Linked DNA regions of Mus musculus. The protein of the gene in region 2 purifies or fractionates together with the protein of the main gene of each other region. This does not show direct contact. Links are inferred from orthologs where the notes say so. Each region holds a gene or a part of one and is shown on either strand. Other genes may lie near its edges.

What was found.
Region 1: the proteins of Med13 (region 2) and Med9 purify together in Homo sapiens (affinity purification with mass spectrometry; 6 studies listed by BioGRID and IntAct, with this or other methods). This does not show direct contact. The link is inferred for Mus musculus from reciprocal best matches to the Homo sapiens genes MED13 and MED9.

Annotation. Positions count from the first base shown.
Region 1 is NC_000077.6:59,958,126-59,961,248, forward strand, and holds part of Med9 (mediator of RNA polymerase II transcription subunit 9), read left to right. Parts: intron 1-2,433; coding exon 2,434-2,650; 3' UTR 2,651-3,123.
Region 2 is NC_000077.6:86,301,915-86,305,741, forward strand, and holds part of Med13 (mediator of RNA polymerase II transcription subunit 13), read right to left. Parts: intron 2,530-3,827; exon of another isoform or gene 1,742-2,529; coding exon 1,620-1,741; exon of another isoform or gene 1,308-1,619; intron 1-1,307. UniProt on the Homo sapiens protein: Component of the Mediator complex, a coactivator involved in the regulated transcription of nearly all RNA polymerase II-dependent genes.

The DNA.
Region 1 (3,123 bases), about 26 Mb from region 2:
GCACAGTTATGTAAAGGTGCGTGTGTACAGTGCCCACTGTCATTTTGATGAATTGCAAACACTCCAGATAATTGTTTGTAAATAACTTCACAATGTAATCAAATGCATAGTAATGTGGAAAGACAAGAATGAGAGCCACATTTGATATACTGTCAGAATAACAAAAGTATACATATGGTTGTCTGAAATTGCACGTTTTGAAATGCTCTACTACAGTTTACATCTTATGCTAACACAGGTGTCTCTGAGACTTGGAACTAAAAGGACTTCCCTTTTCTATCACTTTGGATTTCTTCCTTCCAACATCTACTAAATAAGAGAAAAATTAATCTGGGGAAAGTGAAAGACAATGGACTCAGTAGTGGGGGCGAGGACTGAGGGTGCTAGCCCAGGGTGGTCAGCAGGGACAGATAGGTGCTTGCTTCTGTGGAGAGTGGACCTTTGATGGCCCCCAGATCAGGTTATCAGAGGTGAGGGGCGGGACTGGCCTGCTGGCCCATGTCTTCCCTTGCTTTTGCATTGCTGGAGGACACACTGCCCATTGTTGTCAGTTTGCTTCTATGCAAAAAAGAAATTGGGAAAAAACAGGGCATGTTCTTAGATGCTCTCATCTTTCCTAGGCTTTTATCCAAGAGCCTGGGACACATGTCCAAATGCCTATGCTAGCTGTGGGGAGGTGTTCTGCTCTTCCTGCCCCAAGACTATAGTACTTCTGCCCACTCTTTAAGAAAGCACAGCAGATGGGACCACGATGCTCTAACTTTGTCCTTGTTTGTATGACTCCCATCGATCCTGACCTAGTCTCTCGATTTCCCTTCTAAAGTTGGATGGTGACTAATGCTGAGCACAAAGGCAGGCCCATTTAGAGCTTTCTGCTTTTATTCCCTCACTATCAAGTCTGACCCTGTTCTTTAGACTTGGGGAGTTCACTGTTTCATAGTCATCCTGGCATAACAGGTTCCCTCTTAGTTTGAGCAGTTCCTGAATAGATGCTTTCCTCACCCCAGGACGTCTGTGCTATTTACCACTACCAACTAGGGCAGGTGAATGGCCTACTGCAGAGGTCTGCAGCCCAGCTCCCCTCCGGTGGCTTTCCCCTTGGGTTCTGTTTCTTGTCTGAAGGCTACCCCCTTCCCCCAAAGTTCACCCTGTAAGGAATGGGTATCTGGAGTTTGGAGAGTTTGAGAAGTGAGCGTCTGAAACATGGCCCACACTTTGCTTTCTGAATTAGAATTTCTTTGGGGCTGAGTTATTTTTACTACAGGAATTAATACTATAAACCTCCTTTCCTGTTTTAATTTTGTGGGTTGTTTGTTTTTCTTGTATCTTTCTAGCCTTGTGGTGTAAACCAGTTTTGTTAAAGTGTACTTTAAATTCTGACAGCAGATTAGTGGTGGCCCTCGGTGTCTGCACACTGAGCAGAACTGGTTCCAAAGCTCCTCTGCCTTCTGGCCTTGGGGCTGTGCCTTTGTTCCTAGGATTTGGTTCTTTCGCTTCAGTTTGATAGCAGGAATGGGGATCTCTGCCATGCCAGGGCTGTGAACGGATAGGAATGGTCTGCCTTCAAAATGACCTTGACCCAGAGGAAGGCATCTACAGAGCTGTGCTAGAGGAGAGCCTGTGTCTGCTGAGAGTGTTCCAGTCGCCTGGAGCTGGTTCACAATGTATAACTAGCTCTATAGGAGTTCATCTTTATGTTAACAGGCCTAAGCAAGCACCACAGCTCAGTGAAATGAAGGCCCTGCTAACTGGCAAAGCCTCCTGGTTGGCCTGCAGACGGCCCTGGTCAGGTGAAATGAGTGTTTGACCACGCCTGGTTTTCTTTGTTTTTGGAAGGGTCACCTGATGGTTGGTGATGGAGATGCGTTTAGCACAGCTGCACCTGCTTTCCAAGCACTCATCCTTTTGGCAGGTGGTGTTTTGGAAAGTTCCTGGGTTTGTGTGTGTGGTGTGTGCACACGGTTGAGTGGCAGGGGAAGCAGAGGCGGGCACTTGTGCCCAGCTTCATTACTCTTCCCAGTGTTGTCTTGCACAGAACCTGAGCCTTGCTGTTTCAGCTTCTGAAGTCTGCCTGTTTCTACATCCCCCATCCCACACAAGCCTGAGCTGGGTTTATAGGCATGTTCTTGAGCATAGTGTCCTATGTGTAGGGCCAGGTTGGTGAGACAGTTGTGATGAAGCCTACTTGGTCCCTGCCATCACAGAGTTAAAGTATTTGACTTGTCAAGTATGCTTTTATGAGCTTAAAGCTAAAGAACAAAATAAAACAAATAAAAGACCAATCCTTGTCTTCTGAGGTAGGCAACCTAGTTAGGGAACAGACATGTCTAACATCATTCTAAAAGGTATCAGAGGTGTAGAACAAGGAAGCCATTGTGGAGATGAGCTACACATGCTAATAACTGACTGCCTTCTCCTCCCCCTGTCGCCCAGCATGGACAAGGACAGCCCGGATCTCCACCAGGACCTGAACGCCCTCAAAACCAAGTTCCAGGAGCTGCGGAAGCTCATCGGCACCATGCCCGGCATCCACGTGAGCCCCGAGCAGCAGCAGCAGCAGCTCCACAGCCTCCGAGAGCAAGTGAGGACCAAGAACGAGCTGCTGCAGAAGTACAAGAGCCTCTGCATGTTTGAGATCCCCAAGGACTAGGCCAGCCCCCAGGAGAGCCGCCGCCAGACGGAAAGCATCACGCGGTGCTCCAGCTCCTTGGGAGCCCCGCTCAAAACTGGGAGGCCACATTCAGCTGGTGTGGGGCCTCAGTGCTATCTCAGCCCTGACCATGTCCCAGCAGATCTACAGGGCACAGAGGGAGAGGAAATAGCTGTTCCCTTCTTTCCCTCAGCTCCTCCCACTCCCGATAGCATCAGCATGGTATCAGGTACATACTGTTCCCATTAACAGCAGTTTCATGAAACATTTGCATAGAATTCACGGGGTAAATTAGGCCTGTACTCAGATGGCATGGATTTATTATAATTAAAGCAAGCTGTGAGAGTATGAACATTGTTTTGAAAGGCCAGAGGGTGGGTGGCTTCTCCCTTGAAACAGTTCACTTCCTTTTTTGTTTGAACTACTGAATGAAACTATATCTCTGGGGGCGTCAGCCCAGAGCTCCACGATCT
Region 2 (3,827 bases):
TTTCACCTTGGTTTAATAAAGTTATTCTAGCAAAAATATTTTTACAGATCTAATACTGAGCATAAGTTCAGGGAAACTTCCTAACAAACCAAGTTTTAGCATCTCTCACCACCAACATTTTTTGGTGGATTGGATTGTTTGTTTTTTGAGATAGGTAAAGCCTTATATAACCTAAGTAGGCTTCTTGTTTTTATGTAGACAAAGCTGAGTTTGAACTCCCAACACTTTGGCCTCCTATCCCAAGACCGGGGTTTAAAGGCATGTGCAACCATATCCAGCTCTTACCAATGTTTTTAGAAGGAACGTTTGTTCCACGTCTTATGTTGAACACTTTGTAAGTAAAGCACACACATGACAAATTTTTTACCTCCAAAAAGCCACAGCTGCTGTCTGGGTGTTAGTAGAGACAAGATCTGTCTATATGGACCATATTCAAAGTTCTTTTCCTAGTGAAGCGTGCCCTAGTACACACTACACTGGAGGGTAAAGAGTGAATGTTCACATAGAGCTATATCTGACTTACCAATATCTGTAATAGATTTCATATGTTCAAACATGTGCAATAGATATCCTCACAGGATATATTATATAAGACAACAAACACCAAATATGCCAGTCAGGTCCTAAACTACTTTTAAGTAGATGGGAAAGGACTCCCTTTCATGACACTGTAGCACCCAATTAACTGCTAGACGACTGACATTCTAGGAAATCATTTAAAGTGTTTACTTTTTAAAAAAAAGATTTATTTATTTATTTATTATACGTATACAGTATTATACACTGTAGCTGTCTTTAGACACACCAGAAGAGGGCATCAGATCTCATTAAGGATGGTTGTGAGCCACTATGTGGTTGCTGGGATTTGAATTCAGGACCCTCAGAAGAGCAGTCAGTGCTCTTACCCACTGAGCCATCTTGCCAGCCCTAAAGTGTTTACTTTTATCTTCAACTTTCTCTGAAAACAGGTGTGAACGATGAAGTAGTATTTTCTGGTTTCTCCTTTACCATTTTCAAGACTATGTCTCGTAGTAACAGAAGTAAGGTCAAATAATTTGAGAAAAACTAGCATTTTTGGTTTTTTGGTTTTTTGAGACAGGGTTTCTCTGTGTAGCCCTGGCTGTCCTGGAACTCACTTTGTAGACCAGGCTGGCTTCAAACTCAGAAATCCACCTGCCTCTGCCTCCCGAGTGCTGGGATTAAAGGTGTGCACCACCACGCCCGGCTAAGAACTAGCATTTTTATGAAATTGGTAAGGTATAAAGTCCTAATGTTAATTACTTAAACATTCTCTAATTCAATTCCAGAGTCACCTCTCAAACTACAGGATCAAAGAACAGAAAAATCATTCTAAAGACTGAAGAAAAAAAAATTACATGGTAGAACTATGAAACTTGATCATCTATCTTTCAAACATACCCACATCAAGATTTACAGGAAACCATGTCAAGGTGACTTTAACATGAGAGTAAAAATCAATCAAATGTGTTTTATTATAAAATATTTCCTACTGTTCAGAGCTAAAACATAGTAATAAAGTCATAAATCACTTCCAAAACTCAAACTGTTATGAAATCAATGAAATTTAACTTAATCCTAATCATTAGTAGGATACTTACTGTTAATTCATCTTCATCAGAATTGAAGAGGTTATCAAGGTCAGTGTAAGACACAGCCAAATCTGAGTCATAAATCAAACTGGTTGATGGAGGACGGGCATGATTTGTAGGGCGTGGAGCATCTACATGTGACAATCAGAAAAAAATAAACTGAAAACTCAACTATTAGCCAAGTAGTATTCTGTTTAACTAAACAAGAGAGAAAACCTAATGTTCACAACAACTATGCAACACGATTATTCTAGTCACTAATTTAAAATCTGAAATTCTTTTCTCATAAATAAAGCTTCCCGAGGAAGCTCCAAAAGTTACATAATCTACACCATAGTTAAGCTCTGTAGAAAAGGTCATAAAAATACAAATGCCATTAGAATGATACTTAAAAACACATACTTTTCCTTTTTTGTGTGTGTTATGTGATGTGATTGAATATATGCAGATTCACAGGTACCTGCGCACATTATATGCATAATGTGGAAGCCAGAGGTTGACATGGGGCATCTGCCTTAGTTGCTTCCTAACTTATACATTAAGTATGGTCTCTCCTTTGAACCTAGAGCGCACTGATTCAATGAGTCCAGCTATCCAGCTTTCTCTGGGAACTCCCTAGCTCCTCTTCTCCGATGCTAGAATTTCAGGCAGGCTCCATCACACTTGCCTGACATTTATGTGGCTACTGAAGATCCCAACTTGCACTGTCATGCTTGTCCGGCAAACAATTTAAAAGCTAAGCCATCTATCCAGGCCTTTTTCATTTTGAAACAGATGGGATTTATTTAAGCAAATAAGGCTGCATGTAAATATCGTAATAAAGATGATAGAATCACAGAATATCAAGCTAATTATGTATGATGAATACATGTTAAGTATCTGTTAAAAAAAAGAAATATTTATAGATAATAATGGAGTATCACTACTTGTCTAAAGGCTTGGTATGTTTTTTTCCGTTATTGTGTGTGTGTGTGTGTGTGTGTGTGTATGTGTGTGTGTGTGTGTGTGTGTGTGTGTGTGTATAACTCTTAGTGGTTGAGAAGAATAGAGGAGAGAAAATAGAGGATACAAAATAGATACCAAAATAGAATTGGATAGAAGGAATAGGTTCTATTGCTTATAGCATAGAGGAGTGATTGTACTTCAGAATTTTGACCTATAATGATATAATAATTAAAAAAAAAAAAAACTAGGTAAGAGGGGCTTTAAGGCTCCTAATAAACTAAGTACAAAATACCCCGATTTGGCTAATTTATATGGGATACATGTAGTAAAACATACTATACTATCATTACATGTTTACTTTACGTCTAGCCCCTCCCCTGTTTTACTGGCCTATGCCTTTGACCTTTTTCCTTAATGCCAGTGCTATACTACTATTAGCTGTAGAGTATATTTTGAAGTCAAACAATATAATAAACCAATGGGGGAGGGGACAAGGATTCTTTGTGTGGCCCCAGCTGTCCTGAGACTCACTCTGTAGACCAGGCTGACTTTGAACTCAAGAGCCTGCCTCTGCTTCCCAGATGCTGCGAAAGATTAAAGGTGTGTGCCATCACATGGCTGAAAATCAACTTTTTATTGAGGAGAGGGGTAGTAAGACACTTACTGTGTGCACCAACTAATCTCAGACTCATGAACTCCTCTGTCAACTCCTGAGTGCTGTGACTACAGCCATATACCAAAATCCTGGCTCAGCACCTTGGTGAGTTTACTCAGTACCAAATTCTTTTGAGCCTCAATACAAAGTCCAGGATTTTTTTTTTTTTTACTTCATCTCTGTGCAACATGCCACTAGAAATTTGATAAAGACCCCTTCATCAAAGAATCTAAGATGTCACCCACCAATACTTAGAGCCACTAAGCTGCCTTATGAAAGACTACCTGCTCCTTCTTTACATAATTTTTTCCTTATTTTCATTTCTTTATTCTCAAAATATTAAAACAAAATATTGCCTTCAAAAACACATACCAAAAGATAAACTGTGCCTATTCAAAAGCTTAATGTAAATGATACATACTAACGTTTATAGTATGCTTAATGTCTGGTAATAACAAAAAAAACCAATCTTCGTGTTTTTATTCCAAAAAAAGTACTTATATGAAATGATACGTATTAAATAGCTTGATTAGCACACTAAAATATCCACAGAAAGCAACAAACTATGCATCATAAATATATATACATATGCTATATCATGTTTATCTATCTATCAA